Drosophila melanogaster: one gene and its partners. The gene in region 3 interacts genetically with the main gene of each other region. Each region holds a gene or a part of one and is shown on either strand. Other genes may lie near its edges.

What was found.
Region 1: of PEK (region 3) and Ero1L, changing one suppresses a phenotype caused by changing the other (phenotypic suppression), as found in Drosophila melanogaster (one study listed by BioGRID).
Region 2: of PEK (region 3) and prel, changing one suppresses a phenotype caused by changing the other (phenotypic suppression), as found in Drosophila melanogaster (one study listed by BioGRID).
Region 4: of PEK (region 3) and sud1, changing one suppresses a phenotype caused by changing the other (phenotypic suppression), as found in Drosophila melanogaster (one study listed by BioGRID).

The regions. Positions count from the first base shown.
Region 1 is NT_037436.4:4,168,565-4,174,314, reverse strand, and holds Ero1L (endoplasmic reticulum oxidoreductin-1-like), read right to left. Parts: upstream 3,912-5,750; 5' UTR 3,664-3,911; coding exon 3,523-3,663; intron 3,102-3,522; coding exon 2,838-3,101; intron 2,091-2,837; coding exon 1,405-2,090; intron 1,348-1,404; coding exon 1,039-1,347; intron 978-1,038; coding exon 926-977; 3' UTR 526-925; downstream 1-525. Other genes in the region: CG18675 (uncharacterized protein), read right to left, coding at 1-362. UniProt on the Drosophila melanogaster protein: Oxidoreductase involved in disulfide bond formation in the endoplasmic reticulum. Efficiently reoxidizes pdi-1, the enzyme catalyzing protein disulfide formation, in order to allow pdi-1 to sustain additional rounds of disulfide formation.
Region 2 is NT_033778.4:9,422,378-9,426,671, reverse strand, and holds prel (preli-like), read right to left. Parts: upstream 2,586-4,294; 5' UTR 2,406-2,585; intron 2,344-2,405; exon of another isoform or gene 2,341-2,343; 5' UTR 2,212-2,340; intron 2,134-2,211; 5' UTR 2,072-2,133; coding exon 1,757-2,071; intron 1,426-1,756; coding exon 1,030-1,425; 3' UTR 565-1,029; downstream 1-564. Other genes in the region: CG13955 (uncharacterized protein), read left to right, coding at 3,050-3,345, 3,404-3,706, 3,794-4,016, 4,096-4,254.
Region 3 is NT_033777.3:5,458,727-5,466,669, forward strand, and holds the start of PEK (pancreatic eIF-2alpha kinase), read right to left. Parts: upstream 6,028-7,943; 5' UTR 5,707-6,027; coding exon 5,489-5,706; intron 5,170-5,488; exon of another isoform or gene 5,067-5,169; coding exon of another isoform or gene 5,005-5,066; intron 4,395-5,004; exon of another isoform or gene 4,355-4,394; coding exon of another isoform or gene 4,326-4,354; intron 4,084-4,325; coding exon 3,348-4,083; intron 3,285-3,347; coding exon 2,124-3,284; intron 2,040-2,123; coding exon 666-2,039; 3' UTR 1-665. Other genes in the region: RpL35A (ribosomal protein L35A), read right to left, coding at 6,982-7,005, 7,074-7,301, 7,427-7,648. UniProt on the Drosophila melanogaster protein: Phosphorylates the alpha subunit of eukaryotic translation-initiation factor 2 (EIF2), leading to its inactivation and thus to a rapid reduction of translational initiation and repression of global protein synthesis.
Region 4 is NT_033777.3:24,915,282-24,919,586, reverse strand, and holds sud1 (sudestada1), read left to right. Parts: upstream 1-1,722; 5' UTR 1,723-1,823; coding exon 1,824-1,878; intron 1,879-2,077; coding exon 2,078-3,633; 3' UTR 3,634-3,747; downstream 3,748-4,305. Other genes in the region: CG11168 (uncharacterized protein), read right to left, coding at 4-770, 832-935; PIG-S (phosphatidylinositol glycan anchor biosynthesis class S), read left to right, coding at 1,824-1,878, 3,852-3,942, 4,001-4,140, 4,197-4,305. UniProt on the Drosophila melanogaster protein: Prolyl 3-hydroxylase that catalyzes 3-hydroxylation of 'Pro-62' of small ribosomal subunit uS12 (RpS23), thereby regulating protein translation termination efficiency.

The DNA of each region.
Region 1 (5,750 bases), on a different chromosome or scaffold from region 3:
GCCTTGGCGTCGTTCATGGCACCTGCCAGGACCTTTTGCATCGCCTCAGTTGGCTGCTGTCCGTTACGGCGAAGGAGCGGATCCTTGTTGATAGTGAAACCACCAGACGGGATGCACTTATCCGCCCAGACATCCTTAAGCTTGAGCTCTTCCCTCTGTTCCTCGTTGAGGCCAATCATTTCAGGCGGCACCATGGTGCCATGTTCGGCCAGCTCCTCAATCTCCATGCAGACACGCTGAATCTTCAGTTGACCATTGTGCAGAGCCACAAGCTCGCGAAGCACAGTATCAGTCTTCTCCTTAACGCTTGTCTCATAGAGGAAGATAAGCTCGTCTCCGCGTTTCACCTGAAGAAGCACCATTTCGCACAGAAAATATAGTCACAAGAGCAATCAAGTGTCGATCGACTGGATAGCAATTTGCTAATGTCACAAAAGCCGACAGCTGGAATGGCAAACAACTCGGTTGCTAGGACCCGTATCGATGGAGACGTTAGAGAGGGTGTTTCAAAACAGACAGAAGTTTATTTTAGCGCCTTGTGTCGTAAGGTCTTGGTATTGCACAATGCGTTTACTTGCTCATTAAGTTCCGCTCACAAACTCCTCCAGATACAATAAATACTATGCTAACTTACAATAAACACCTGCATCCTGCATGGGTTATTTTTTTGTCATTTGGTTTTTTTTAGGGTGATACGGTGCGCTAAAGTACAAGTAGCCTAGGGTAATAGTTTGTATGTACAGGGAAGCAGCTATCCTGGGGTTACTAGCCTCTGGCCTCAAAAATGTTACGAACTATGGGAGGGAAACCGCATTCAGTAGGAAGTCCAAGACGCAGCCCCAGCGATGTGCGTATGAATTAACTAGCTGCTCATGTGAGGCGAATGAGATCCGGCTCGTCGCTCGGTTAGTCCAGTCTGGATGGGTTACCTCAGCACGCACCGGAAATTCTCCATCTCGTATATACTGTTGGATAGTCTGCAAGCAAGTGTATAGATGTAAGTATTTTAGAAATGCCATTTTATCATTTAAAACGCACCTGCCAAACGCATTAAATAGAGCTACAATCTCTGTTCGCGACAGCCTGAAGATGGGATCCGCTTCGATGTGCGGCTTGTCCCACAACCCGCTTTCCGTGGCCAGATTGAGCTTCTCTGAGTAGAGAATCTTTAAAGCAGTACCCAATCCCTGCGTCTGCAGCTTCCCCCACAGTTTGCACTTGTCGCAGCCTACGCAGCTCATGATGCGGGATATGTTTCGGAACTTTTCCTTATAGTCGTGCTTGAACTTAATAGAAGCGATTCCATTACTGAAGAGGGCGTTCTCGTCGAAGTGGGATTGAAAATTTCTACAAAAAGAAGCTAAATTGAAACATTGTAAGAAAAAAGAATATTCCTATACTCACTCTATGACACTCAACATATCATTGATGGCTAGTTTAACCTCATCATCCTCCTCTGCGATGCCCGTGTAGTAATCTTCTCGCCGCAGATAAGGAGCAGCCTTAGCCAAGGCGCGCAGTTCTATCAGATAGATGAAGTAGAGGTTTCGCAGCCAGTGCGGACCTTCACCGCTTGTGGTTTCTGGACTAAAGCGTCGTTTAAACTCCTTTACGTTGGGACCCCAGATGCCCTGCGGATCTAAGAAGTCCTTTGACTCTGACAGCAGGTATTTGGAGCACAGATGAATGTTGATACTAGAGTGCAGGCCAGAAATAATGCGATAAAAGGCACGCTGCTCCAAGCACACATTTCGCAAATCCAAATGAGGCACGTAGTTAGAGAACTTGTTAGCCGTCTCGTTGTTGCCACCGAAGCAGTTCTCCAGATAGATGCTCTTCCAGATGCGATGTGCCGATTCGCCCTTATAGCCGGTGTACCGCTCAGGATTTAGGAGCAGATCCACATACTGGGATCCCTCCTCATGATCGTCCACGATGCAAAAGTCCTCTTCCGCCTCATCATGCTTCGCCCACAGTTCGAATTCCCGATGCGCCTGATCACTTATGCTCGTGTCCAGGAAACCCAGAGAGCTGTCGAAATCCTCTCCATCCGAGCACGCTGAGCCCCCAACTTGCGCCTCGCGCGTGTACTGTAAATACAAGATGCAGATGAGGAAGTCAGTAAGGTGAAGTGAGCCAGTTGTGCAAACAAATAAGCTTAAGTTTTAAGTCAGTCATTATTTCATTGATGGTTAAGTAATCTTTGAAGAAACAGATAAAGCTTTTCACAAATATATCAATACATTCTTGAACGGCATTATCGGTATAAATAATTATCTATACGTTAATAAAGTATCTGGTAGATAATATGGTTTTGTTTTTTTTTTGCTATGTACGAGTATCAATTGTTTTTTGTTTGTGAAGATAAGAACCTCTGCTGTTAAATACATACGTATATTGAACTGCATTGTTTCTTTTTTTTTTTTTTTTTTTGAGTTATCTTTAAAAACAATAATTGATTTTCATTCTCATTTTGGGGTATAGAATTTTTGTTTATAATATTTTACTGTATGGTATAGTCTGCTAAGGAGTGATCAATATTTTAGATAAGTTAATAAGTTAATCGACAATTAAAAAGGGGCGGGCAAACGCTTGATGAGATGTGAAGACCACGTCAGCATTGCAAAACAAAATCAAAGGCCACATCATTAACAGTGTAGGCTCAGTTGAAGATTATCGATGCGGTTCATTCTTGTGGAGCCGCAGACATTCGAATAAAAATAAATCACCTGCAAGCCCATTGAGTGATTGGGTAGATAGTGGTGATTTTGGCAAAAGATTGAATAAGATAAGAGGCGTAGTGTAGACGATAGCGATGGAAATACCCGGAATCTTACTTTAAACGCGGCCTTCTCCTTGTGCTCTCCCTTGTCCTTGATGCCCTGGGGAATCGCTTGCTCCTCGCAGTTCTCCACCTGGCAGAAGCGCATCGCACAGCGACTGTCATCCGGCCAGAAGGGGCACTCCTGCCGCAGGTTCACCTTGTAGAAGCGGAAGAAGTTCTTCACCAGCAGACTCTGCAATCGCGGATAGATTTTCATGTTGTTAAAGTGATCCACCGTGTCCACATCGCAGCTGCAGTCGTTTATAGATCCCTCCAACTGCGAAGAATATAAATATCATACAGTCGAGGTGGCAATAGTAGGTATACAAAAATTTGATCTCAAGTTAGCTGAGTACTATACATATACTAGGTCAAATATTATTAGTGAAGCAAGTGTAATTAATTAATTATCACAAATAAATAATTGAGTATTCTGTACGTTCTGCACTGCAATTAAAGCAAAACTAATATAAGCACGAATTCTTTTTTACTAATCTCCAGTATTTCAACTACATACTTTTCAGTTTAAAATACAATTTTAAAAGCCTTTTTTTAAGATCTAAGTAGAGATCGTTAAAGGATAAGCAAATGATGATGAAATCAACTTCTTAATATTTTTGAAAAACATATTTTTAAATGGCTTAAATCATCAATTAATTTTACCGTTACTGTGTACAATAATCCGAATATTAACCCACCTCGCAGAAGCAGTTTTTGCTAGTCTCCGTCTCATCGATGGCTGCAAAATAGCCTCCAGTGGTGTCCGTCCAGAGCAGGAGCAGAACTAGGACCACCGCAGCGGAGGCCCACAGATTTCTCTGCACCGTGCGTGTTGTCATTGTGTTTTGATGTGAGTGTTGCTATTGTTATGACTGTTGCTGTCACTGTTTTTGTTGTTGCGTGCTCAGTTGTTTTGCGCTTCGCCGACGGAGTGCATCTGAATCCGATTTCCCCACCCGTGTGATTTCGCACCTGCGATTCCGAATCCCAATTTCACGAGTTTAGCGAGCATTTGCGTTTCGAAGCAGCAACATTGTTCATTTACTTTCGATTCATGATTTTGGACACGTACCTGGCGTTTGTGTGACCGCACGCGCTAAGCGCCGAAACGTACTAAAAAATACCACACTTGACGAGCGAAGTGCGGTCACTCAGCACAGCAGGTGCTTTTCAAATGGCCAATATTTCCCATTAATATAAATAATTTTATTTCAGTAATTTTTTTCGATTCGCAAATGAAGTATTCGAATATTTCTAAAAATTTTATATTTCTTTTCTAAAAGTTTTGGTTAAATGTTAAATAAGTAATCAAAATGTAATTGACCGTAAATATATAAAAAAAAGATTTTAAAAATAATCTGTTAAAAATTTGCCCATCAGATATTTGTTATATTGAATTTACGATATGTTGAAATTTCGCGCCATTTTTTTGAAGCAGAGGCAACCCTCTTCCCAGGGATGAAACATTTTAAGGGAAGAGGTTGCCAGATCGCGTTATGGAGAACAGAAATAAAACCGCTCGATTTGAATTAGCAGAATGAGAATATTTAATAACAAAAAATTGAGAGTGAGCTTGATTTAAAATTAAATAATGTAAAATTTTTCAAGATCAGATATAAAAATGATGAAATCGAGGTAAACCACTTTATTCAACAATTTATTTAACAAAGTATAAAAAAATAACTTTTTGATGAAAACCAGTTCATTTCTGATAGTTAAAAAATTCGGTTAACGATATTTAATTAAAATATGAAATATGAGCGTAATAACTTTCCAAATGACTTCTAGCGATAAAATTCAAGATAACATTCAATCGTCAATCAATTGATTGGTAAATGTGAATATCGTTATGGATTTCCTCGTCTCCAATATTGATGCAGTTAATTAATTACCTCAAATATTGATTTCGGCTATTCTTCGGCAATGAATGCGTCTTTTGTTCCCATGACAAACCCTTGCCCCGACGATAGCACCCCTCAAAGGAGCTCGCGACCCTCGATATGCAAATTGAGAAAACTCGGTCAGATCTTGGATCGAATCCTTTCGAGCCCAAGACCATCATCGTTCATCACGCCGGGGGGTGAATTGCTTAGGATGCTGGGCACGACGATGCAGGCACCTCGATTATTCGAACATAAATCGCCTTAGGTCGTTTGGAAAGTAGATACCAACCGCAACAGGATGGGGTCTATCATTTTAATTTAGTTACATCTTAGAATGTAACAAAGAAGCTACTTAATTTTAAAAAAAAATCAAATTAGTTACAATACCTAACTAACTTAACTAATTTATCAATTTTAAGCATGTAGATTATTTAAAACATTACATTAAAATTATTATACGTTAATGTGAACACCAAAACTCTCACGTTTCTTTTTCTTTATTCCGGTTTTATTCGAAATAAAACTATTTTTTTGCTCCCAAAAAAAAAAACTTCTTTTGTGTCCCACCTGAGCATCCTATTTCCATCAGAACCCATCAAAAGTTCTCACGGAAAAGTGAAATTACAACAACGGGATGACTTAAGCAAAAAAAAAAAAAAGATGAACCTCGAAAAAAACGGGGAAAAATCTTCGAAAAAAATGTACCGAACGAAAGGGTTTAATCATTTTTTTTTCCAAATAGGACGATTAATGCAGAAAAAACGCAGACGCAAACATGTGTGGCCAAAGGACAGGGCGGCGACCCTCGGCATTGTTCGAATTGAAAAGGAATCATCGCGGACTCGGGCGAGCGATTTGCATACGCAGGACGAAGGACGCAGGACGAAGACCAAACCACCACCACCAACTCCTTATCTATTTGCCTGAGGTCCTCGGGACCAGGTATAAAACTCGCACAGAATGATAAATCCTTTTTTTTCTCGTTTTTTTTTTTTGATGAACTTTTTTCACTTTTTTTTACCACTTTCGGTTTTTTTTATGCA
Region 2 (4,294 bases), on a different chromosome or scaffold from region 3:
TCTTTTGTGCACTTTTGTCTCGCGATTTCAGCTGCAGTTCTTCGTGCGATTAACTATACTCGCAGTTATTTGTTTTTGCGCGACTTTGACGCGAACGGTTGGGAATTCGGATTAAGAATGCGACTCCAGGTGGCTCTGGATTCTCCAATGTTCGAAAGAACGCCGATTTTACCTAAAAGCTGCGAGCGCTTTTGCGTGGGAGAGCCGCAGTGTTGGAAACCAACGGAATTGCGTCACGGATCCGGTAGCACCGGGCCAGCTGACTTCTGTATAAAATATGGCAGCCTTGGTTATAACGAATATTTGCAGAGAAATAATTTAAAACCAATTGAAAAATATATACAAATGAATCAAATAGTACGCATTAAAAACCGATTAATATTAACAATTCATTATAAACAAGCTTTACTAAAAAATTAACCGCCCATAACAATAAAATAAAATAATAAAAAAATGAATAGATATTATAAATATTACATAAATTGTATAATATAAATATTATAAATTCTGTAAACATAAATTCTTTTATGACTAGACCCAGTTCAAAGAAACAGCCGTACATTTCTAACAGACTAAGTTTATTTTAATAACTACACTTTTAACCACTACAAGTGTTGGTTTTCTTATATTTTGATAAAAATATACAACATATTACATAGCAATACCAATTTTGACACGGCTTTTCATTTCCTGCTCTTGACCTAACAGAATGATACATAATAATGTAGTGCAAATAAGTAACGATAAATAATAGAATTTGGTAGCATGCAGGAAATGTGTTCAGCAAATTGTGTCTCCGTTCAGATCAGCCGTTTGATTCGCGCACACACGGAATGAAATGCAGCAAAGTATGTAGTTGGATTTGCTTTGGAATAAATGTTTAAAAACACCCGGCGACACGACTCCTCCGCTCGTCATTCTAATTCCGTCCTGGTCAAATCCACAAACTCCTTAACTCCCGGAGCCGAAAGCATTAAAATCTTCGGTCCCATTCGACATCTATTCCAAAAAGTACAGACTAGAAGTTCCTCAGTTCTTGACAGAAAACAGTTGCGCAATCTTGGAGGCATGACTCTTGAAGAACTCGTAGCCCACTTTTGCGGCGCTCTTGAGAGCTCCTTGGTTGTTGAGACTGCCGTTTGTTGTGGATACGGTGATGGTCGTTGCAGGAAGTTCTCCAGCTGGCGAAGTCGTCGTCACCGCGTGCTGGTGATGTCCTCCACCAACCAAACTGTCCGGAAACATGCGCCGCAGCACGTAGTTGAATCCATTGGAGGCCTTGTTGCCATTGGCCTTAAACCGTTCGATGCCGAAGGCGCGAATGGCCCGCGAGAATCCGAACACCTGCGAACTAATGTATGCTCTTCGCACCGCCAGAGTACTACCATCCTTCTGCTCGCTGTAGACGACAATTTCATCGACTTTCTAAAAGGAAAAAACAATGATCATTAATTAGGATTAAATTAAACTTGAAAAGATTAAGTAACATATTTCACATATTCACTAAAAGGGTGCAGTAAAATAAATCGAACAATAATCTTAACCGGATCCCGATGTTCTGTATGCGTTTCATGGGTTAAATATAACAAACAATGCCACAGCATTGACCATCGATCTGTTAGGTAACACTTATGCTTTTGTATTATGCCGGTATTTCGGTCATGCCCAACAGCTAGTGGCTGAATTCTTCTAGACATTTCTTTAAATTGATATGTGACCTATTTAAAGCAATCGTAGTAGGTGTGCGATCACTTGCCATTATCTTGGTCATTCCCAGGTTCCTGGTGAAAGTGGTGAATGTCTTTTTAACCGGGTCCAGCACGGAGTCCTCAACAATCTTGACCGGCACATTGTTGTAGAAGCGAGCTCCCCACTTCGGCACCGGATTCGTCTTGGAGAGCAGCCGGCGCGAGAAGAGCTTGCCATCGCGCACCTCCCGCTGAATAGTGTCCTCGGTGAGGACGTGCGTGCTTGAGGGATTCGGGTAGCGGTTCCAGTAGGCGACCACCACGTTCATCCAGCTGTAATCGAAGACCGTCTCCGTGCGGCAGGTGGATGCTGCCACGACCATGTTGAAGGTGGACCAATGAACTCGCCGATGTGTTCGAAAGTGAAAGCCGCCGTGTCCCTGATCTGAAAAATAAACCGATAATCATCAATAGCAATCGCATGTTTCCGGCTAAAAATAGATCGCCGAATCGATGGACGTACCTTTGCGAGGGGGTCCAAGAACGGGGGTCTCTTACGGTTTTAGAGCTCCAGAGTGCAGTGTGATTGGCACCAATTAGCTGGCACACGTTGATTCAGCTAGCAGCTTGTTGTTGCCCCGACTTTGGGCGCCTACTAAGAATTTAGTTGTGTAACTGCGTCACAAACTCCGGCACAGGGTGCTTCGGGTTCGTTACCTTCAATTTCTGGCAATTTGCTGGCGATATCCCTCGATTCCTGCGTTGCCTCGACCTTCAGTGCCCCCTTCTCCTGTCTGTACACGGTTTCATTGCTTGCTTTCCAAGGGTTTGCTGCCAATTTGGATACAATTTACGCCTGTTCAAAGGCCATCCGGAAACATCTGGTCGCAAAGTTGCCAGATGGTGCGTGTGCCAATAATACCACAATTTGCATTTTCCCAACTATTTAGTATTTTACGTTTGGTTTTGCGCCAAAACGTTTTCTTTTAAATTTCACTTAAAAAATGTTTTTAAGCTTTCAATATTAATTGGCAAATATGACAAATGTTCTTGAAATAACTTAAATCAAAGGTTTGCCGGTATTTTACTACTACATTTACTATGTTAAACTAATAAATTATGAATTTATTGGATGTTGGGTCATATCTAGTTTTAATTAAATATTTAATTATTTAAATTTCGAAAAATAAAATCTATTATTTGAGAAATAGTTATTGCAAATATTTTATTGCTTAAAAATTTATAAAATTAACTCACAAATAGTTGTCATGGGAATTTTTGAATTGTGCGGTGCTTAGATACCAGAAAACAATCAAAAGTTCACATAATTAAGTACAATTAGAATAAAGAAGCTCAAAAAAATGGATGTTGTGGAATTCCTCACACGAACCGATAGGCGCAATCTAAAATCTCAAATAAGTTTCCAGGTGGCGCAAAAGATGCACGAATGGCACGCGGATTTGGACAACCGTCGTTGGAACCTCTGTCTTCTTCTCCAAAAGGAAGCCTTGGAGGCGGATGAGCAGATTGCAGAGATGCTGCAGGCGCAGGCGGATGAAGCGGATCGAAAGCGACACGAATGGATCGAAATGGAGCGATTGAAGCGGGAGGAGGCCGAAATGGAGCTGGTCAAAGTAAAGAAGCAGCAAAGGGAGATGTAGGTTTTGAGTGTAGAATTTTAAGTCCTTTTCCATCTGAAATCACCTCACTTTCAGTGAGAACTCCGAGGCCCATCGTCACATGCTAACCAAGGAGATCCTGCTGGAGTCCAAGCAAGCCCAACTCCATCAAATCGAGGAGAAAAAGGCGCTCAAACGCCGCCAGGCCTGTGTGGAGATTCTTTGGCAGCGCGTCTGGCAGAGATTGGACGAAAGTAAGGCCCAGCAGGAGCAGCATGAGCTGAAACTGCGCAACTTGATTGAGAACAGGTGCCAAGCCCACAATCTAGACACTGATCGGGAGCAGAAGGCCCAGTTCGCCAAGGAGGTGTTGGCAGACCAACGGGAATGTTCCCAGGCGTGAGTACCAGGTTCCCTAGAGATTCAGTTAGTTAATATACTAATCGAATGGATTATGTTGGTAATCCAATCAACTACCTTTCATAGCCTGGAACTGGCTGCCGAAATGGATGTGCTCAAGAAACAAGAAGATCTGAAGAAGCTCAAGGATAAACGGCGCCAGCAGCTCATTGACTTGCAGGATCAGATCAAATGGAATCTTACCATCAGCGCTCGGCAAGCACAGGCCAATATCCGTGAGGATGTGGGCTACAACATCCTCGAAGACCGCCAGATTTACGAGGAGCTCATGGAGAAGCGTTGCGCCAGGGTGAGTTTGCATGCCCGCCTCCAACTGCCTTTCCTCTTAGTCACAATGCCAACAACCCAACCCCTTCTCATTGCTCCAGATTCACAATCGCGATTGGCACCAGCAGTACATGACGCACACGGCTGCCGAGCGAGCTGCTCGCAGGGAAGAGGATCTGGCACGGGATCGGAAATACCTGGGCACTGGGTGTGTGCTTGGCCAGCAGCCGAAGCAACCGTACGGCAAGGAAGTGCGCTAGTACCAGTGGTGGACACATCGTCATCGCCATTGCCATCGAT
Region 3 (7,943 bases):
CCATGAGTTTCATCACCTCTGCGACTTCCCTCAATCAGAAGTACGTACACAATTACTTAGTGGCCTATTGCGTATATCATTTATGTAAGACTTTTCAGCGCCTCAACCAATTTCATTACTACACACAATGTTGCCGCATGCGGCGACTGCTTTAAGGTATGCCAAGCGATTAGTCACAACCATTATCTCTATGGGCAATTAGAAAACATTTCCATTTCTATTTTTGACATTTTTATTTTAATCTTATCGCCTACGACTAAAAACAAACTCTCGCATTGGTTGGGCGGCTACATGGGTAGAAACAAACTAAGACAAACAATTTAGCATCGTAGGTAACTTAGGTAACTTAGGCTAACGACTGTTTAGGAGTACATCTTTATGTGTATGTATAATTCCTAAGGTTAAGTCTTAAAAACAAAAGGACATTTTGTTGGTAATTTGCGACGCGCAAGAGTAAAGGTAAACGTAATACAAAACTTATTGAATCTAGGGTTGCCCGGTAATGAATCTGCGACCTTTACGGGTCGAGGTCAGCGAATAAGGCATAGCCAGGTAAGGAATAAGCGATGGCGATACTGATGACTCACAAGCGAAATGCTATAAGTGACTGAGTTTGGCGCTGACAGAATGGGTGTCCAAGCTCATGGCCCAAATTGTCTGATCTATCACTGATGCGGCTCACTGGAGCTGCTGAAGGTGCGGCTGCGACTCAGGCGCCTGGCCCGCTCCGCCAGCTCCGCCTGCTCGCTTTGTCCTTCCGAGAGGAGATGAGGTAGCTGCAGAATGTTGCGCAGCTGGCTTTTCAACTGCTTGGTCTGCGGGCGTTGCTCTGGCTGGGCGGATAGCATTTGCTGGAGCAAGTCGTACTGCTGCGGGTAATTGACAGCGAAATCCTTGGGATACTGGCCGTCCCGAAGACTGCGCAGTGTCTTGATCCGCTCCATTTCAGTGCTGAAGTACACGTGCAGCTCGAAGAAGATCAGTCCCAGTGAATAGATGTCCACCTTGTAGTCGTAGTGCTGGCCCAAAAGCTGCTCCGGCGACATGTATAAGTGGGTGCCCACCTGCTGGGTGTGGCGGGCACAGGAGGGCAGGCCACTCTGGTCCCCACACTTGGCCACCAGGTTGGGGATATCGGCCATGTCGGTGACGAGCCCGAAGTCTCCAATCTTTATCTGTCCATCCTGCGAGAAGAATATGTTGCTTGGTTTCAGGTCCCGATGAATCAGACCCTTCAAATGTACATAGTCAACGGCATCAACGATCTGGTGAAAAATGTCACCAATGTGGGCAGCCCTTGTTTCCGACCGGTTGTCCCTTAACCAGTCGCGCAGACTCTCCTTGCGGCATAGCTGCATCTGGATGTAGAGGTACACCTTGCTGGGCTTGGCCACCGTTCCGTTCAGAATCGTGGCACTGGAGGGCGTAGGTTGGCTCCCGTTTTGGTTGTTATTGTGATTCTGGGCCAGTGCCAAGGTAAGGGGCTTCCTTCTAGCTTTATTATCGTCATTCGCATCATCACTTCCACTGCTCTTGGGGCGCACAGATTCGATTTGAAACGAATTGGAGACCAGTTGGTGCTGTGAGTAGTTTATGTTCTTAAGGTCAAACGAGGCCGAATGGATGTCAATGGACACGGAGCTGCGATGTCGTTTCTCATGGTCTCCCTGCTGCTCTTCATCCTCTTCATAGTCGTCGTCGGTATCATCCTCCTCCTCTGCCCGTAAAGCGGCTGACTGCGACTCGCTGCGGAATTCAATGAGCGAGTCCTCTTCCTCATCGTAGTCGTACTCCTCGCGTATGTTCTTGAGTGATGACTCGCCTGGTAGATGAAAGTCGTGACTACAAGCGGTGCTATTGGCTGCATCCGAAACCCAGGACAAGAGCTGCTGTTGGCGTTTCTCCTTCAACTGCTCCGTCAACGAAGGCATTGTACTATCGTCCGGCGTCTCTATCTGGATAGAGGTGGACAGCTCGTGGGCAAGCAGCTTGCGATCCTCTTCTTCCTGCCAACCAGTCGGCGGTGTCTCGGTCCAGGACTGGAAATTTTACAATAAAGAGTTTTATCATCAGATAATACTTAAAAACTTAATTTTAACTTTTAAATAGATAGAAGAACTTACATGGAAGTATCGCACGATGTTGTGGTGCTCACAACTAGCCAAAGTTCGAGCCTCGCGAAGGACTCGCTGTCTTGAAGATTCCTTATTGGGTAGCGTTATGCGCTTAATGGCGTATCGGTTCTCATCCAGCTTGTTCTTAGCTTCGAAGACCACTCCGAAACCACCGCGACCAAGGCACTGCATCAACTCGAAGTCGGACTGAAAGCGGGAAGTGTAATGCTCGCCTGAATGAGTTGTAGACTCCGAAATGGTGCGCTGATTTGCTTGTCCAGGTGGGAAGCTAAAACGATTTCCAGGTCGCTGCATCGGCACCACTGGACCTAGTAAAGCCTGTGTGGATGCTTCGGTGGCCTCGATGGCCGTTTGAACAGGCACATGACGTTCAATGACCAGATACTCTCGCTCCACGCGCTGGTTTCGTTGGCCCATGAAAATATTTAGAATCACAGCCGACGTAAATGCTATGACCACGATTTCCTTCCACCAGAACCACAACGACAATATCACAACCTTTACAGGCGCATCAATGTCATCCAAACTAAAGCCCAAATCGTCGTTGACGCTATGGTTTCCAGTAGCTTCCGTTCCCTCAGATGTGGCATTGGTAGGCGATGTTGGAGCTGTGATTGCTGGAAGGTCAGTTGGATTATTCTGCGTACTGCACTCTTGCGGGCCGTTCAGATCGCCAGTGGTGTAGAAGTAAAAACCATTGCCATTGACAAACTCCGATGCATTCAATACGGACTGCGCTGCCACAGCGAAGTTTTCATCATCATAGGGCACCAGTTCCCCTCCTTGTGCCACAGCTCCCTCAGCAATCATTTCAGGGTCCTCCTGGTCTTTCCGGAAGATTACCAGCGATTTGCTACTGGCGGATATCGGCTTCCAGGGAATCCTGGGCATCAGGCTGGTGTCGCCTGTAAGCTGCTGATAGACCTTGGTCTGGTCCATAATCTCCTGGCGTAGACGTATTGACTCCTGAATATACAACTGTTTATCGTACATGCCCAAGTAGATGGATGGCGGGCTTTGTGGCGCATTGGGCAGCTCCGTGTCATTTTCGTCCTGGTCCCAAAGCCACTGGGCCGAGCTAAACAAATCAATAGGCTGCAATTCGTCGTCGGCATTTGTATTCCAGGCACTCACAATTGGGTGATCAAACTGAAAAGCACACGAAAAGTACTAAGTAAATTTGCCTTTAATATTAAAGCCATCACCACTTACCTTGTACTTCCACAGCATAGTCTGTGGCTCACTTTTGCTGAAGGCGCAGATAATTCCCTCGGGCACTACCACCTTTATATCCACATCCAAAACAGCCAGCTCCAGCTCATCGCGCGGCTGTAGCTGGCACTCGGAAGGTCTCACCAGATCCAACTCATGCTGACCTACGCTAAAGTTCCAACGCTCCACTCCGGTCCGGGATTCCACGGCCCGAACCGTTTGTGTCTGGCGGCGGACGATAATAACGTCGTCAAGGAGAGGATCATGGCGCACTATGTAGCCGGCCTCGTCCCTTAACTGTTCTCCGTCCTCCAGCTGATCCTCCTCATCGGGCTCCCTAATGGTGTCGTCGATTGCAAGCCCTTCCTCCGTAGAGTTTACACATCCGTTTAGAGAACATTCATACAGCAGCTGGCCAGTGCGAACGGAAACACCGTATGAGCGTGTCTCCTTGCCTCCGGATATAACCAGATCATCGCTGAATTTGGCGCTCGAGCTGAGTAGGTGCTCCGCCGTGATTGGAATGGGATCGATGGAGTCCCCGTCGAACTTGTAGATGCCGCCGCTCAAAGAGGGAATCATGCGTACGAACTGCCCATTGTTGGTCAGCTCCAATCGATGGATGCTGGACGAGATTAGTGGCCCCGGTCCGGTGGGCACACTCCAGCGCAGTTTGCCGGACTTGGCGATGTCCAGAGCGCTCAGTCGACCATCAAGCGTGGAAATGTATAGGAGTCTGTGGATAGAATAAATAATGCAATACCAAGTTTTAATGTTTTTATTTCCATATTTAATAAATAAATATCGACTACTCCATATTAGCTAATAGTCCATAATGGCGGAATTTGCCAAATTGTTATTTTCGCTAAATGATACCGTGTCAGCGTAACAAGGATTTTGTAGCTTGTGGAATTTAGAGTGGGCGAGGCCAATATGTTTTTAAAAGCCGTTCTTGTTAAATATAAGAATACCGTATACCCTTTATGTAGGTAATATCCAATTACCATGGGCGAGCTTGAAATAAACAAACACAAGATTTTGAAGAAAAAACAAAAAACACAGCATACATAGATTCAAGTAATGATTTGATTTTTATGTAATATTTTCTATTCGTGCAATTAATGTAAAAATTGAATTTTCTGTAAGTGAGTAAGCCTTTGGTTAACTGTTTAAAATATTTCAACTCGAAAGATTAAATACTAGAGTTAAATTTGCAATTATACAAAAAGTTGATTTGTGCTTGCAACCGATTCCGTCACCAGGTACACGGTGCATGGGGCAAGAATAAAGGAAAGCAGGAAAAGGGGCACACTGGCAGACCCAGCTGACAGCGTAGAAAAGGTAAATGGGAAGTAAACTCAGCTGTTTTTGCGCCAAGAAGACAAGAACTCGAGGAACAACAAGTGTCAGTTGGCCCCTCTCCATTTCCCCTATCGCCATCTCTGTCGCGCCCACCAAGGAGCCGAAAATGGCGCCCGCAAAAAGGGGGGATAAAGCAAACGGGGGGAGAATTGTGAAATTCAGTGAAAACCTTGCACAAACGCAAAGGAAAGCAAAACAATCGGGGAAACCAGTTCGGATTGGCATGCTTGCCAAACAACATATCTAGACGTCTGCCTCAAACAAAAATTCAGTTAAGATCTTGCAAATGACTCACCGCATGCTTGATAAGCGCGTCCACTGATTACGGGTTTTCATAGTTGGCCAAGGTGCAAACATGTGGGTTCATATTATCAGATCGCTCCCAGACTTCAAGTTGAACAGAAGCTCTCCGAATTTCTCGTGTTAGACGGGACAAGGTACTTAAAGCTAAGGGCCGTCGCAAATGTTACCAACTTGTCGGATCAGCCGAGAATTTTGAGCTACGTATTTTCACTGGCCCCCCGTCGTACCACAGTTCTCTTCGAATTCCCCGTTTTAGCTGATTAAATAGGCACTTTTCGAGTAGTTCAACCAAATATCACTAACGTGTTCTTCGCAATATTTGCCTAGGTGCTGGCTGCTCGTTTATCCACTTGCACCGCGTTTTAGCGAATGTTCGAGAACATAAACATAACACACACATAACGCACTCTTCTTCTTCTGCTACAATCCATTCGATACCAGTGCATTCCTCCCGATACTTTGGTTAGGGTACGTACCTTCTTGCAACGCGACGCTCCTCCTGATCTACGCAGTGTTCGAGCCCGGGGGGACGGGGAGATCCGGCAGTCTGGAGCTCCGAATCAGTAGTTGGGTGCCCAGCTAGCACCTGGGCGGGATCGAAAGCCACCAGGCCGGCCATAGTGAGCGTGACGATCTGCAGGAAGCTCAGGCTCCGGCGACGATGCCTCACGATGCCATCCAGGTCGTCCTGCATCGTACGCGCATATAACGTAATCCTGGTCGTTGGCGATCGGACGCGGGGAACGGTGCAGAAATGCAAGTCTCTAATTGGTTCGAACGGTGACGTGTTGACCTCACTTCGGGGGGTCGGTTGGTGGAACAGCGGCGGCAGTGGCTCCCGGCAAGGTCGGCGCACATCTCCGCATCACTCTCGATGGCTCCTGCAGCAATCAATCGCAACTCCACTATTTAAATCCACTAAAACTGGTCAGTTTATGTTTTTGTTCCGATTGGGCCGCAAAACGCGCGATTGCAAGTGTGACCGCGTTTTGACAGCCTTAAAATAACAGATGACACCACAATACAGTTTATTTCGTCATTACCTAAAAGTACCAAAAAAATACACACGGTGGGAACAGTTTCACTAAGGTTTTACTATTTTAAACTTTTCCAGTAACTAATTTAAAACAATGTTTGACGCCCATGTTTTGACACAAATAGGGACAACTTAACAATAATTATTAAAGTAGATGAAGTATTATTTCCATCTCATCTCTTATTGAATACTTCTATTATTCGACGTGTTTTAAAAATAAATTCTATTCGGCTATAATTCTGACACATACCAAATGAAATTCAAACATTACTTTAATTTAAATATGCTCTACCTTCTAAAAATATGTTAGGTGGTATATTCGTCATAATATAGAAACGTTTATTACAACATTTATTCTTTTTAAAAAACTTTTGATTACTATGAAACCATTTCCTTGATTTTTTTAGAAACCGCATTGTTGATTAACAGAAACTTGAATTCGTATGATTTTCGAGCAGAAAGGCTACGCCATACACCCCTAGTGTCCTTGCGAAAAGATTCGTTAGTAGTACACACTACAGTATTCGTTGACTTTGGCAATACAAAAAATAGTTTTGAGATTTTCAAAACTAATTAAAATCTATTATGGTAGAAGTGGTATGTCTGATCTAAAGGAACGACATTAGCCAAGAGTCTCGAAATCCACATTCAATTCGTACTCTAAAACGTTTCCATCGTCTTCATCTGCTACTTAAGATCAATATAAATGGATTTTAATGCGAAGTGGATGGTCCCGCCAAAAGATAATTCATTGCAGTAGGGAAAGTCAAACCGAACAGCCATCAATCGATATACAGATTACCGTCAACTTTCAATCGGTATCTCGCCTTAATAAAAAAGCCAAGTTGCGTTTTAATTAAATTTAAAGTGTTTCATTTAATGTAAAACGGATTTTTTACTCCTGCAGGTCAGTAATTCAAGTCGGATATTAACTTAAATCCTTGATGGGTACAGCATCTGCAAGAAAAAAGAAGGCATGTTAATACAACCCAATTGTCGGACAGAAAAGGTGTGTTTGAACTAACGATGCGGATGCGGTGGCCCATGGCATGACCGGGCAGGTTCCTGTTGAAACGGGCACGCACAGCGCCGGTGTTGCCGTGGATGCGGGTGACCTTGCCCCAGACAGCGCGGACGCGGGTCTTGCGCTCGGGATGCTGCGGCACGCACTTCTTGGTCTCGGCCTTGTAGACATAGACGCAACGCTTCCCAACGTAGAAGGATCCGTGCTCCTTGCGGCGGGCGCCCTCAATCTGCAATGTAATATGTTGGTTAATCAATTACATTACTAAAATGTTTTTACAGAACTGGAATGTATTAATTATTATTTGAAAAACTCTGTGAAGTCCGGACCCATCACATTGAAGTATAGACATACCTTGAGGATGGCCTGGTTCTCGTGCTGGTTCCTCAGACCACGCTTGTAGCCGGTGAAGACGGCCTTGGCGAAGAGGCGTCCGTGACGCTTGTACTTCTTGGCGGAAACTTTAGCCTCTGAGGCGGCGGGCTTCTCGGCCTTAGGCGCCTTGACGGCCTTGGGAGCCTTCTGGGCCTTGGCGGCCTTGGGCGCAGTAGTGGACTTGGCTTGTGTGTCGGCCATGGCTTAGCTGTGGATGAGAAAAGATAATCTTTAGAGCCGTAGGCATTCATCATAGGTATTCGTTGGGGCTTGAGGGTTTCGATCATTTGCATGCATTTGATTAAACGAAAAGTACTTTAAACATTGAAGATATTGAGGTGCACAGCTCTGGGCAACAGTACATTAAAAACATCATTTTATATAAAAATAAAGCGGAGTCTGGTGAAAATTCCTGTACCCGACCGGCCTGGGGCAACATTTAATGATAAAAACAAAAACTGATAACACGGATCACTTATTAATCTTCCACAAGAAG
Region 4 (4,305 bases), about 19 Mb from region 3:
CACCGTTTATGGCGCCCACAATGTCGTAGGTCACATGCGGCGGATAATCGGAGAGTATGTCCAGGGCTGTGCGTCCGTTTCCATCGGTGGCGTGTACGTAGATACCGGCCTTAAGCAGAGTGACCACAACGGACTTTTTGCCACAGAGAGCCGCCTCGTGGAGAGCGCTTCCAGCGTTGGTGAGTATGTTGACATCGACGCCGGCCGCCAGCAGTGTTTCCACCACCTTCTTGTGCCCATTCCTGCTGGCCAGGTGCAGGCAGGTGTGCGTGAATATGTGCTTTATGGGCATGCAGCCCAGCAGCTCTTCATTGTCATCTTCCAAACGCTTATACGGCAATATGAGGTCGGGATAAACACGGAGCAAGGTCTGAACCACCTGAAGGCGTCCGAATTGCGCTGCCAAATCCAGAGCCGTTTGAAAGCTATTGTTGCGTATGGCAGGATCGGCGCCATAGGACAGCAAAATGGCCACCACGGCATTGTGGCCATGTTGGGCGCCTGAGTGCAGCGGCGTCTCGTTTTCGATAGTCTGGGCATTCGGATTGGCTCCCGTAGGCGAGTGCATCAACAGCATCTTGACGATGTCCTGGTGCCCAGCCCAGGCAGCCAGAAATAAAGGTGTCGAGCCACGTATATCAGGCACATCCAACAGCGCGTTGTGGGAGAGTAGTAGCCGTACAATGTTGCTATGCCCATTTAGACAGGCGTGATGCAGCGAAGTGTAGCCATTCATGTCCTGGCAGTTGATGCTGGGACTTCGCCTAAAACTGTAAAGGAAAACCTGTAGTAAACTACCTGGAATAACAACAGTTGCTGCTGGTGACTCACCTGGACAGCGGGCCATGTCGTTTGCTCGAGTGCTCCAGCAGTTTGTCCACCGTCTTGATGTCGCCGGCTCGCGAAGCCTCCAGCAAATGCTGATCCTTGCCCATTGCTCCTCCGTATCCTCCAACACTAGGTAGCTACACAGGAGCAGAAGAACACATGTCAAGTTGTTTAGTTTAGCTTTTGCTCCGATTCCAACACAATGAGATCATCGCGAGCATACAGAATACCACAGCCCCAGCCCCACTCACACCCCCAACAAATCAGGTGGCAGCCAGGCGGAATCAGCTGTTTGGCCCTAGCACGCACAGACTGATAGCCAAATATTTTTTTTATACAAAATAGCTGTGAACATTCCACAATAGTATTTTTGTTTATAATATGGAGGGCTGAATGGTGGCTCCGCCTCTTCCAAGGTCATTCCACGGCATTGGACTGCTCCAATTGGAATTTCTTTGTCACCAGCTAGGTTTTATCTTCAAGTTTTAATTTACCGGCTATGTCCACGTCCGTTTCGAAAGTTTACAGCCATAAACGAATAACTATATTTGCCACCGCGATAAGCAATCAACAAAGCTGTGATCTAAACTTTATTTACGTGGAGCCGATCGAGCAATTGTTCGTTACTAATTGGCTAGGGATGGAGGCGTGAGGCGACGACGAAACACACGACACTCACGTACAATCAGTGATGATCAGTATAAAATGAAAGTGTGATTAGTGAGTTGAATGCTAATGCTGAATGCCTTCAATATATTATTATATTATATATTATTACTTATATACGCCCTTTATTGTTTACAATATAATGCCAAAAGTTTTTAGCTACTAAACTTTAGCTAGGTATTTGATACTGCGTGGAATAAGCTAACTACCCAACACTTGCACAGAACAACCGATATTTCCGAGCTACCATCTCTAGCTGCACAAGCCAATTTTTTTATTTTCCCTGGCAAAAATTCACGTTTTTAACCGAAAATTTGACTCACAGCATCATGGAAACCTCGAGCTCCAGTCCAGTAAAGCCCAGGAGAAAAGACAAGGACGAAGGTAAGTGGAAACAGTGAGAAATCTGCCCCAAAACGATAAAGCGAGGTGTGCCGGCACATCGGTGCCTTTGATTTTGCCTTTGCCTTTGATAACGCGTGTGTGAGTGCTGGTGTGCGTAAAAAATAGCCAAATTAAAGTTTAAGGTATGCCCCTGTTTGCCTCGCTTAATGCAAACCCATTCACTATGTTGCCCTTGCAGATGGTCGTGCAGAGCAGGAGGATTCCGCAGATCAGGTGGGCGAGCCGCACAGGAAGCTTTTGCGCCTGGGCGACATCCTTGAAACGAACGAAGTGCTCCTGAACGAGGCGTATCAGCAACCGGAACTTACCAAGTGGCTCCAAACAGCCTGGACGGAGGAGAAGAGCCAAGGGACCAAGGAGACGCAAACCGGTGCTCAGGTCTTCTCGGATCCCTTTCAAATCTGCCTTCTGCCCGGCATGCTGGAGAAGGGCCAAAGCCAGGCGCTGGTCGCCGAGATCATCCAGAAGGTGCAGTGGTCGCGCAAACAGATGGATTTGTATGAGTTCTACCAGAGCGCCGACCTCTCCAACATGCCCGCTTGCCGACTGTTGACCAACTTCCTGCAGGTGCTGCGCAAACAAGTGCGTCCCTGGCTGGAGAAGGTTACCAACCTCAAGCTGGACTATGTGTCCGCCTCCTGCAGCATGTACACCTGCGGCGACTATCTGCTCGTGCACGACGATCTGCTTAAGGACCGACAAGTGGCCTTCATTTACTATCTATCGCCTTGGGAAGGAGCGGAGGAATGGACGGATGAGCAGGGCGGATGCCTAGAGATCTTCGGTAGCGACGATCAGTGCTTTCCACAGTTTCCAGTGCAGCGAAAGATCGCCCCCAAAGACAACCAGTTTGCCTTCTTCAAGGTGGGCTCGCGCTCCTTCCACCAAGTAGGCGAGGTTACTACATTCGACTACCCGCGTCTTACCATAAACGGATGGTTCCACGGCGATACCAATGAGGCCTTCGTGGCCGACTCCCTGCGCGCCTTTCCCCGCCTGAATTACCTGCAACCTGATGGCCTTAATAGGCCACCGCTTGGCCTGTTTCTAAACAACGTGTATCTAAAGGGGGCCACCCGCCGGAGCATCCAAAAGCGGATCGAAGAAAACTCCGAGATTTGTTTATACGAGTTCTTCAAGCGAGAGAAATTCGAATTGGCCCGGTCGCAGCTGTTGGCCGATTCGGATACCTTGAAGTGGCGAAGACAGGGACCCGCAAACGCACACAACTATGAAGTGCTGGATTTGACAACAGCCAGAGGCACCATACTGGAACTACTGCAACTGTTCCGTAGCCACGCCATGTTTGATTTGCTGCGAGATTTCACCGATCTGGATTTGGCAGGCACCGATGCCGAAAGTCCAACATGCAGCGTGGAACTGCAGCGCTGGTCCCACGGCAACTACACAGTGCTGGGCGACGGTTTGACCAGCGAGGAGAACACTTTGGACCTGGTTTACTACCTGAACGCGGCAGAAGGAGCAGCGGTGATCACATACCTCGCACCCGACGCCGAAATGCCAACAGCAAAAGCACCGACGGACGGAAGGCGATCGGACTACGATGACGAGGAAGAGGACGATTCCGTTCTGCTTACTATCACGCCGGTGGACAACGCCCTGAACATAGTATACCGGTGCGAGGGCACCACCAAGTTCACCAAATACGTGTCGCGCAACACGCCCCTTGAAAAGGGACCTGTTTTTGTTATTTCGTGCAGCTACAAGGAGTAGCATGTGATCCTGTTTCACAACATGCGCACAATTACTCGTCAAGGACTATTAACATTCATACCGTTCTCCTGTACAGAAACTAATTTACATAATAAACTTTATAAAACACAAATCAAAATATTATAGTTTTTTGTCGAAGTAATAAAGTGTGAACCCAAAGAACGCTTACGACCGCGATAAATCAGGAACTAATCAAACACTTCTCTTTAACTTTACAGATAAGTTCCGGATCGGGGCTACACTAGCATTTATCGTGGTCATCATTGGAATTGGCGTGCCCATGTGGTGGCGCACCACCACAGTCTACAGGTGAGTCAACCATGTCTGGCGGCGTTTTTCCAATTATACCTAAATGTTGCAATCGCAGAGTCAATTTGCCCTCGACGGAAATTTTGAGTCTGAGTAAAATTCCGATCAAAACGGCTGTGCAGGTGGCCATCTACACACAACAGACCAGTCGTGGCCAGTTGCTCATCGCCGAACTGCAGAACGCCTTCAGCGACAATGGTAGGTGCAAATTCATTATCCATTCATATTTCTAAACGGCATGCATTTCCCATTAGAAATATGGTCTGTGGAATTCAAGCAGCTATCTCCTACGCCAATGACCCAGGAAGCACACACGCCAGCTGCTCTGGAGAAGCTGTTGCTGGAGAACCATGTCCAGAGCGT